Caenorhabditis elegans: one gene and its partners. The protein of the gene in region 2 purifies or fractionates together with the protein of the main gene of each other region. This does not show direct contact. Each region holds a gene or a part of one and is shown on either strand. Other genes may lie near its edges. The genes, in order: gut-2, C09F9.2 and cyh-1.

What was found.
Region 1: the proteins of C09F9.2 (region 2) and gut-2 fractionate together in Caenorhabditis elegans (co-fractionation; one large-scale study listed by BioGRID). This does not show direct contact.
Region 3: the proteins of C09F9.2 (region 2) and cyh-1 fractionate together in Caenorhabditis elegans (co-fractionation; one large-scale study listed by BioGRID). This does not show direct contact.

What each region holds. Positions count from the first base shown.
Region 1 is NC_003283.11:13,495,949-13,499,319, forward strand, and holds gut-2 (U6 snRNA-associated Sm-like protein LSm2), read left to right. Parts: upstream 1-1,792; 5' UTR 1,793-1,827; coding exon 1,828-1,830; intron 1,831-2,017; coding exon 2,018-2,085; intron 2,086-2,502; coding exon 2,503-2,634; intron 2,635-2,684; coding exon 2,685-2,775; 3' UTR 2,776-2,871; downstream 2,872-3,371. Other genes in the region: eea-1 (FYVE-type domain-containing protein), read right to left, coding at 1-67, 162-1,103, 1,145-1,318, 1,375-1,419; avr-15 (Ig-like domain-containing protein), read right to left, coding at 2,992-3,281, 3,337-3,371.
Region 2 is NC_003280.10:14,703,397-14,707,151, reverse strand, and holds the start of C09F9.2 (EGF-like domain-containing protein), read right to left. Parts: upstream 1,638-3,755; 5' UTR 1,637-1,637; coding exon 1,412-1,636; intron 324-1,411; coding exon 241-323; intron 1-240.
Region 3 is NC_003280.10:3,502,969-3,506,723, reverse strand, and holds the start of cyh-1 (Cyclin-H), read right to left. Parts: upstream 1,706-3,755; coding exon 1,634-1,705; intron 1,190-1,633; coding exon 1,071-1,189; intron 651-1,070; coding exon 542-650; intron 92-541; coding exon 9-91; intron 1-8. Other genes in the region: Y49F6B.2 (Fcf2 pre-rRNA processing C-terminal domain-containing protein), read right to left, coding at 1,898-2,015, 2,908-3,032, 3,079-3,243, 3,312-3,551, 3,640-3,750.

The DNA of each region.
Region 1 (3,371 bases), on a different chromosome or scaffold from region 2:
GTCTTTCCCCTTGCACTGTTACTTTTTCCTCGAAAACCGCCTCAATTCGTTTCCTCTCCGCTGTATTCTGCAAACATTGTTTATAAAACCGGCAAATTGAAATTGAGTTTCAGGTTACAGCTTTGCCTAATACGATAAAATAAACAAAGAAATTAACTAACCCGCTCGAATTTTGAATTCAGGCTTATCATTTGTTCTTCATTAGATCCATTGATATTAGATAACATTTGAAGAGCATCTTGTGATTCTTGTACTTTATCTTCGAGCCTTTTAACGTTTTGCTTGTTTTCACTTAATTCGAACACGTTCTCTTCGATTCTGGCTTCTAATTGAACAACCCGTTCATTTCGTTGTTTCAATTCTTCGGATTGAGCATCATACGATATTTGCAACTGCTTCACAGTTTCTTCTCCTTCGCCAATTTTCTTTTCCAAGTTCTCATTTACGATGTGCTGTTTTTCACGTTCCATGCTTAAATTACGAATCGAATTTAGGTGTTCCTTGATTTCGATATCTTTCTCCTGAGAAATAGCATCCATTAGTTTTTGAGCATTAACTAGCTCAGTACGCAAAACATTCACATCATCTTCAGAAGGCCTCTGATCGAGCATCTTTTCAAGCCGAGAAACTTCGATTTCGTACCGAACAACATCTGATTTCACAACTTTCAGCTCTCTTTTCAGATCCTCCATTTCAACTTTGCCCGATTCAGATTCATCCGTAATTTCGCGCATTGTGACGCTCATCTGTTTCAATTTGGCCATCAAATCTCCACGTTCTTGTTTAACTTGTTGCAATTCTCGGGACTGCTGGCCGCTCTCTTTCTCAAGTTCCAGAAATTGCCGAGTAACCATTCCTTTGTCGGCTGTGAGAACTTGAATCTGCTGTGCCATGTATGGAATCTCATCTTCTGTGACTTCTGAAGCTATTGCCATTACCGATTTAATATTATCAAGTTCTTCTTTTATCCGTTCAGCAAAACGTTTCTCTTCGTTAACTCTTATTCGAAGCTCTTCAATTTCTTGATCTTTTGTAGCAAAGGCGAGTGGAGCTTGCTGAGGTGGAGTGTAATCGGGATGATTTCTGTTGGCTGATGTCTGAAACTATCAAAAAATTCTATTGAATCAGAGATTAATCAACTTACGTCAGAATGTTCTTTTTCAAAATGAACAGTAAGTTCATCAGGACCACCGAGCTCTACCATACACATTGGGCACAAGAACCCTTCGATCTCCTGATCATTTTCTGATTTTTGTGATTGCGACTGTGAACCTTGACTTGAAATACTTGGTCGACTGTTGTTTAGTCGGCCGTCAATCTAAATAAATTATCAAAATGGAAAAAACTAATTTTTTTACAAAACGGAAAACTTACATCATTCGCGACTTGCGAAACTTGTTCTTTCAACCTTCGAAGCATGTGTTCTGGAAAACAACAGTTCATCGATGCGATAATTCGAATGTAACGAACGGAGATTTAAATGTGATACACGAAATAGATTACAACAAATTGAGATATATCATCAGATCGATATAAACGAAGAGGGAAGGCGAAAAGCATTGATTTGACAACAAAACCGGCGCATTTTCTTCTCTTTCTGTCTCGAAAGATGATTCAAACATAGCGCAAAACAAACTGGCAAGTGGAATTCTCTGTTGGTCACTCAAATAAATAACCGGATTCCCTCTGATTTCTTTTCGTCTCTTCTCTCTCGTCTGGCAACGATGCTCCGTTTTGACGCAGTGCGCCTTGTTTATAATTAGTTTTGAATATTATTTTTTCATTAATTTTCTGAATCTTTGCAATTCTTCGACGATTTAACATAAAATGGTTAGTTTTCCTTTTAATTTTGTGATATAAATTGAAAAAGTACATACTCAAATTATTAAATGTGTTATAAAACTGTTGGTTGTCTCGGATATGAGGCTGTTCCGCTTAAATGTAATTTAAATTAATGGTTTAGGTATGTAGAAAGTCCCGAATTTTTGTTGTAACTCACGAAATATTACTATTTCAGCTGTTCTTCTCATTCTTCAAATCACTCGTAGGAAAGGACGTTGTCGTGGAGCTCAAAAATGATTTGAGGTGCGGTTTGTTAAATCAGTATATACAATTTACAGAAAATCGAGAAAATAACTGGAACCCATGTAAAACTTCAATTTCAAGACATTTCTTAAAAATTGGTTCACAAAAAATGCTTAAAACTTCTTGGGTTCAATATTCTGAATGTCTAGAAAGAATTCGAAACTCCCCGAAAATATGTATTAGCCAGACGGAAATCATTTTCAACGATACACTTCCACATAATGAAAATTCCGAATTTCTCGAAATCTCTTTAAACGCAAGTGCCATTCCTGGGTTTGAATTTAAATTATGAAATTCCATTTAAGATTAGTTCTGCTAATTTTTATAAGTTTTGAAGTTTAAATCTCACAAAATTAATATTTAAAAAATAATTATCTTATTCTAATCTCTCAAATGCAAATTCTAATAATTTTTCAGTATCTGCGGAACTCTGCACTCGGTCGATCAGTATCTCAACATGAAGTTGACCGATATCACCGTCTCCGATCCAGAACGATTTCCACATATGGTCTCTGTCAAAAACTGCTTCATCCGCGGATCCGTCGTCAGGTACAATTAGTTATCATTTTTCATAAATATTTCAAAATGATTCTTTAAAGGTACGTGCAACTCCCATCCGATCAAGTCGACACACAACTCTTGGCTGACTCCTGCCGGAAGGAGCTTCTCGATTCAAAGGCAAAACAGTAAATCCACGTGTTCATTCCTCAAAGTTCATCTCATTTTTTGTCAAGTTTGATATCATCTCATTTAAAAAAATATTTATTTTTATAAAAAATTCGTAACAAACAGGTTTTATTCACAGTTTCAAATGGTGTTTATTGCAGGCGTGTTCATTTTGTTTTCTCCATTGAGGGCACCGGTATGATAGTAGAAAGTATTTGATTGCTAAATAATTCCAGAATATTACGTACTGATGGCCACACCGTATTGTCCATAATGAGTCCAATAGGAGATGTTAAACGTGAGAAATAGTACAGGGAACATGACTCGAGATATAAGATCTGCTCTTTTCGACTTGTCATTCCATTCAGTCTTTGTTTTGATCCATTTCCAGACGCTATTTGTTTGACGGCGATTCATTCGAACTGTCATTACTTCTCGTTCTTGTTCAGCAACTTCTCGTGGTACCCACACATCGTTATGTGAATTTTGAAGGAATGGAAGTTCAGCTTTCTCTCTTTCAGTTCGAGCCCCTGAAAATTAGCAAAAAAAACGTAGGAAAAATTCTGAAAAAAAATCCCAACTGACTCTTATTAGCATCTTGCTTGTTTGCAATATAAGTC
Region 2 (3,755 bases):
AAGTTCTATGAAATTATCTAAAATTATTTTTTTATCCCACTTAAAATTTCCGGCAAACAACGGAAAAATAAAAAATTTTAAAAGGGAATTTTTGGAAACTTTCTGAGCTTTTTGAGAAACTTCCAAATTTCTCTGGAAGGCTCTGGAAAATTCTGGAAAACTCTAGAAAAATTTGAAAACCTATAAAATGTGGGCACTACGTCAGATAATAAAAATAAAGTTTAAAAATAAAAAACGTACGTCACGTTAAAAGCATCATTGAAGTTGGTGAAAATGGCAATTGGCTCATCCGACGAGTTGAGAACTTCCAAACGAATTCCACCCTGAAAGTTATGGTTTTTTTATTAATTGATTTTGAATCCAAAAATCCCTCTCTGTCCGGAAATCCAACTGTTTCTGTTATTTTCTTTTTTCCCGCTAAACTGGGTCATCTTACCGACGGAATTTTTCATCAATCAACGTCTTTTTTCTCTCTCAGTGAGAAGAGTCACAATCTCTTAACCTAGTTCAAATCCGATAGTCAATTGAAAAGATACTTGGTTGGGTTCAGTTTTAAAAAGTCAAGGAGGTTCTTGTCGGTCAGCAGTTGTTTTTTAGAGGAAAGTGAAATTTATAAGTCAAGTGGGAATTAATGCATAACTTTTTTTTTAGAATATTAAAGAAATCTCGGACACCGCCACCTTGAAATTCCCTGAGCTTCAACTTTGCACGCCACGGAACCCCGTAGATGTCGGGTCATGCATATCAGCCAAACCCCAATTTAGTTGAATTATCAGAACATTTCCAGAAAATAGCCCGATTTTTGAAAAATTTTCTTCAGCTGTTTGGAGAGAAGCCAAGTGTACTCCATGTGCACTTTCCTCCAAAATTTCCATCTTCTCCCTAATAATACAACAGTACTATTATTACGTTTCAACACTCTTTCCAAAATCAGATAACTCATATTGGATTGGCAGGTCCTGTCTCCGAGTCTCTGATATCTATAGTTTATGATCAGGTCAATGCCATCCACCTTTCTTCCCTCTTCCCTCCTCCCCCAATAGTACGAGATGCCGACACTAATTGGTAGGACCAATTCGGGTCGAACGCATTATTATGTAATACACTTTTTATGGCTGTGTGAGGAAAGTAAGAAAGATGAGCGAGTGGATTTAGTGACCGTTTCATTAAATTTAAAATTGAAATTGAGTGAGGAAAATGATAGATTTGGCGCACTAAAATGTTGGTTAATTTTGAAGATATAAAACATACGTTTAACTACAGAAACATAGAAAAAGTTTGCAACTTTTTGATAAAACAAGTGGCAATTTTTGGACTTTTTGTCTTTGTATTTCTGTAGTTAAAATTTGCTGCTTTATTTCGGGAAATCTAAATTTTCAGATAAAAAAATCTAATTTTAAACATAACTAACCATATGCGGAACAGCTACAAACCAATTCATCTCAACTGTGGATCCGGCTTTCATGAAGGTTCGGACACCTTCTCCGGGTGCCGGTTTCTTGACTCCACATGGTGGTTGACTGTTTGATGAGCTGTAAAAGTCGAGAGCCGGAGCTCGAGCTGGCGGGTAGACAAGTTTGATGTGTGCCGTGGCGAGGGTCGCCAGAAGCAGTGCTAACACTGCTCGTATTAACATTTCTGCAATTATTGGTTCATTTTAGAATGCACAGATGAATAAAGAAGATACGAGAAACTACATTCTTGAATTTCGGGGGTCCAACCTTTGACCTTCTGCTCCAAAACCATCCATCTTACCGACGGAGCCATATCTTATGGCTCAGTCGGTAAAAGACTTGCCTTTGGAAAATTACTCCAAGGTTTGACTCCCGGGTGAACATAGTCTCGAAAGATTTCCAAAACGGTTTCAAGGTGACATATGAGAGGTATAAGTAAGTAAAAGTACGCAAACAACGCAATTTTTTGTTTCAAAATTTGAAATTCCTCCCAACATACAGTTTAAACACAATTTCAAGTGGGTATGAAAAACGTATAAGAAGGATGAACAGAAGCCGTGTGGAACTGGTAGGAAGGGTGGTGAAAACTGAGAACAACAAGTATTAGCAGTTGGGTGGGGAGTAGGAGGAAGAGGAAAAAAAACGAAAAAAGATTCGATAAGTTATTGGCATGACAGGATTTTCTTTGCTTATTGTTCGGATGAAATGCTTGTTGGCAAGTGAGTACTATTCAGTAAAATGTCTGGAGAATAGTAGCTAGGAAAAAGAGTCTCCATAAAAAAATTTGGCTTGCGCCTGAGTTTATTGAAACTTTATATCTTGGTGCTTGGTCTTCGCAGGTGAGAAGCTTAGGCATATGTAAATTCTTAGGATTATGCTTAGGATAAAAGCCAGGCATAAGCACACGCCTAGTTTTTTTAAGTTAAAAAAAACATAAACTCAGACCTAGGCGTGGCGACTTAAATTGTATTTAAAAAACATCGAAACCTTGTGAAAATTGACTGAAAATTTGGAAAACTCGAAAAAAAAACAAGATAAGCTTGACGTTCGTTTGGCTATCAACTTGGAAGTCGCCCATGAGCAATGTGGACCGCTTTTGCACGCGTTAGACAAACTAACATATATTGACTACAGAAGCGTCTAAAAGCCGTGCAGCAAGTGGATGATGATCCAGTAACCTTGATGTTCTATGTTCTCGAACGAAAAACGAACAAAAAATAAGAAAACAGAGGAAGAGATAGAAATGGAAAAAAAATTCGGGATGAAATGATGAGACACAACATACCGGACACACAAAGACCTTGACCGCTTCGGAGATATGAGGGGATAGTGCAAGACTGTGCGTGTTGTGCAATAGTGCATAGTGGTTGAAATTGATGGGAGGAGGAGGAGAAGGAGAAGGGATTTGTTAGAAGATTAGAAGATTTTGAAAACTTTTCCATTTACAAAACTTGGAGCTTGGGGTGCTCTATGACCACCTGAAATCGGGCACCTAGGGCTCGGCGAGGTATGGTTACTGGCATGGTGGGGCTTCATTAAATACAGTGGAGAAATAGCTCTGGAGCCCAACACCACGGTTCGAATGAACCTTTTCGGTATTTTTTTTTAAAGTTTTATGAGGAAAGGAGTGAATGACTGAAAGATATCTACCTACTGGAGGACAGGTTCACCATCCCATAACCGACACTCACCTCGCTTGCCCAAAGTGGATACATAAAACACATAACGGTGTACTTCTATATACCCTATAAAACACAATACAATCCACCATTTATCTTTTTAGCCCCCTTTCCCCAATTTATATGAATTGCTGATGTTGTTGGCTGACAAAGTGGGACATGAACTGTGTAGAAAATCTAAGCGAACAAAAAGAGAAAAAAATCAGAAAGAAATCAAAAAGCGGAAATTCTTCGGGATTCGGGATTCTTCGGAGGCAAGAAATGAAACAAGAAGACCGTATCTTGCGGAAGGAATTGATAATTAGATACCATAGGAATAGTGAAAGTTCTCGAGGAAAGCGAGTAATTACAAGTTGTTGCGCGAGGGAAGGGTCTTTGCGGGATTTGGTGCCAAACGAGAAAAGGGGTCGCTGGCCTGTTGAGTTGCTAAAGGTTTATCCAAAATGTGGGCCGGGCCTATTTATAACAGATAATTTGGGATTACAGATAGCACCAAAAATTTTATTCCAAAAAAAAAAGAAAAACAGTTCAAAACGTGTACGTTGCCGCCACCCGGGCCGTCCAACACCAAAACAGTCTCCCAAAAGTAGGGACAAGGGCGATCAAAAGATAGAGATAAGGC
Region 3 (3,755 bases), about 11 Mb from region 2:
GGACTTACTTCATATTCTTCACGAAATCTTCGATTGTAATGTAGAATTCGTCGATTTTCATTGCCAAGTAGAAGCAAGCCATCATTACCATCTGAAATTAAGATTTTTAATGGAAAATTGATGGAAAATGTTGGAAATTCGGGGAATTTTGGGCAAAAATCGGCAGAAAATTGAGTTTTCTCAGTTTAAAAATCAAAATTTTAGCGATTTTTGAGTGAAAATGAGTTGAAATCCAAGTTTTTGCGTTAAAAAAATCAAAATTTTGCCGATTTTTGCGTTTAAAACAAAATATTTGGCAATTTTTACACAAAATTGAGTCGAAAAATAGGTTTTTGCGTTTAAAAGCCGAAAATTAGTCAATTTTACACCAAAAATCGCAGAATTTTTTCGTTTAAAACTAAAAAAAATTCGGAAGTTTGTATGAAAAAATTGAATTTTTGACAATTTTTGGGCAAAAATGGCCCGAAAAATAGGTTTTTTCGTTTAAAAATCAAAAATTCGGCGATTTTGACTAATTTTCAGCTAAAAATTCAATTTTTACCCTAATCGACGTGTCTGATGGCACCCAGACAAGAAAAGCCCGCTTGAAAAACGCCAAGGCTGTCCATTTCACTGATGGCCATATGTGTGGGCGGAATTTGTCGGCGAATCTGGAAAAATTTTGGTATTTGAGTGGGAAAATTGAAAATTTCAGGTTTTTTCGTGTGAAAATCGTTTTCTTTTGGGGTTTTCTCGACTAAAAAACTAAAAAAAAAATTTTTTTCAGAAAAAATAGCCAAAATTGTGAATTTTCTGCATTTTTTCTGAACTTCTATCGGAAAAATGGCAAAAATTCCGATTTTCTCAATTTTTCATAGAAAATAACCGAAATTCACAATTTTTGGTGCAAAAAATGCAGAAAATTGAGAAAAAATCGCATTTTTCCACATTTTCCGGTACAAAATTGTTTTTTTCATGGTTTTTTCGGATTTTTTATGCTAAAAATCCAATTTTAGCCGGAATTTTCGCGTTTTTCATGAAATTTTGACGGGAATTCTCCGATTTTTCGGTGAAATCCAGCAAATTCTAACTTCAAAGCAGCATCCTCAATTGATCTTTGCATTCTGAGCTCCTCTTCAGGTGTCACAAAGAGCTCCAACTCGTCCGGCTGCATTACTGACTCGTATTTTTGACGGAATTTTATGTTTATCTGCAAAAAAATTGGGCATTTTTAATTTTTTGAGGAAAAATTCAGGTTTTTTCAGTTTTTTTTTTAGGAAAAAGCGAAAAAAAATCCATTTTTCCGGAAAAAAAACGGTGGAATTCTCAGATTTTTCAGTAAAATTACAGGAATTTCTACTTTTTTTCAATTTTTCTCAGAAAAAAAAAACAAAAAAATAAATTTTTCCGGAAAAAACGTTGAAATTTCTAACTTTTCCTGAATTTTTCAGAGAAAATGAAATAAATGCTCAATTTTTCGAATTTTTAAATAAAAAATGCCGAAATTCTTAATTTTTCCAATAAAAATGACTAAATTTTCAACTTTTTCCGAATTTTTTAAATAAAAAATGCCGAAATTGTTAATTTTCCGTGTTTTAAGTGAAAATTTTGCTGTTTTTAGCCTATTTTCCATAAAAAATTCCAATTTTTCTACCTCCAAACGCATTGCGGCCAACTTTTCCGGTGTATACGTCCATTCCCGTTTTTGTGTGCTCGTCGCGTACATTTCTGAATTTTTGCCATTTTTTTGGCTGAAATTTTCGGTAAAAAAAAAGGTAATTCTGGGTGAAAACCAGTGAAAATTAGTGAAAAATGGGCAAAAAATCGACAAAATAACAAAAAAACGAGTCTATAACAAGAAAATTCCAACAAAAACCAGAAAAAAAATGTGAAAATTCAAAAAATTAACAAAAAAAAATTATTTCTTCTTATTCTTCATTTTTGATTCTCTCTGTTGCTTGTGAGATTTGCGATTTCCGAATTTTTGGAATGCTCCACGTCGTTTAGATTGCTCTTTTTGGCGAATTTCAGCGTATCTGGAAGGAAAATATGGAAAAATTGGAGCTTTTTGATATAAAAATCGATTTTTTCGGAGGAAAAATGTGATTTTTGAGCTATTTTCACACAATTTAACCGTTTGTTTTGCTCAAAATCCGAAAAAATTGAGTTTTTTTTTATTGAAAAATCGATTTTTGGGGGGAAAACCTGTGCTTTTTTCAGAGATTTTAGCGGATTTTTCAGGAAAAAATACTGAAATTCTCAAAATTTTCGATTATTTTCCGGAAAAAAACGTTGAAATTATCGTTTTTTTGGTCAAAAATCGTGTTTTCAGTTAAAAGTTTGCGGTTTTTCGCCATTTTTGGACAAAATTCGGCGAAATTTTCTGAAAATTCGGCTTTTTTTTGCTCCTAAAATCAAATTTTTCGGTAAAAATCTTGGAAAATGTTTTTTTTATTAAAAAAAAACCATATTGTAACGAAAATTCACCATTTTCCATCAATTTTAGCCAATTTTGAGCTCCAAAATCATAATTTTACGTTAAAAAACGTAAAAAACTGTCCATTTCCGGGTTTTTTCGACGAAATTTCGTCGTTTCAAGTGAAAATCGATCAATTTTCAGCATTTTTTTGGGGTTTTCGAGTCCAAAATCATAATTTTACGTTAAAAAAACGCAAAAACTGCAGATTTACAGGATTTTCGGCAAAAATTCGGCGTTTTGAGTGAAAATCGGTCAATTTCTACCGTTTTTAGCGAGTTTTTGCATTAAAAATATCAATTTCCAGGATTTTTGGCAAAATTTCGCCGTTTTGGGTGAAAATCGGCCAATTTTTATCCTTTTTAGCTCATTTTTGCTCTAAAAATCACGATTTTAACGTTAAAAACGCAAAAACTTGAATTTTTTCACAAAAATTCTTGATTTTCCCGTACTTTTTCTTGGCTTTGCTCAACGATTCCTCATTATGCAAAATCTCGTCGACCATCGTCTTTTTTCGCTCTTTTCGCACCATTCTACTCGAATAAAAGTCTTCTGGAGCGTCAACGACTCGTCCAACCTGAAAAATCTCGGATTTTTTGGGAATTTTTTAAATTTTCTCGAACTTGGAAGTATTTCGGCAGTACAGCCCGGTCATTTCGACGATAATGAGCCAATGGATCGAGAGTTGATCTCATTTGAAGGAATTCCAAATCTCGTTTGTGCTCATCGGTGAGCTCCGTCGCTGGAAGGTTGAACCAAGCGGATCCTTTGGTTTTTTCGCGTTCTGACTGGAAAAATAGCGATTTTTATTGGATTTTGAGCGATTTTAATCGAATTTTCATCGATTTCAACGCACTTTCTTCAGCCTGGCGGCCGCATTCCGGCCTAAAAGCCTATTTTGAGGCTGATGATCGCCTTCAAACTTCGGCCCGACAACTGACTTTTCCAGAAGCTCCTGCAAGTCCTTATCCATCTCATATGGCTCCAAATAGGATGTTCCGAGCAGGTCAACTGCCTCAAAAGCTCCTTCTTTTGGCGCTTCTTCACGTACGGCTCTGTCAACGACGAAATCATCGAATTCCTCGGCGACAGGCTTCTGAAAATCGATTTTTTTGGTGCTTTTCTGGGAAATTTTCGGTTTTTTTCGCTAAAAATTTGCAAAAATCGCCGTTTTTTGTGATTACTTGTTGCTTTTGCTTCTTTTTTGGAATTTCCTCGTCGGAATCCGAATCTTCGCTGCTTGAAACGTCGGGATTCTGCTGTTTTCGTAGCTTTTTGAAGTAGAGCGCAGACATTTTGA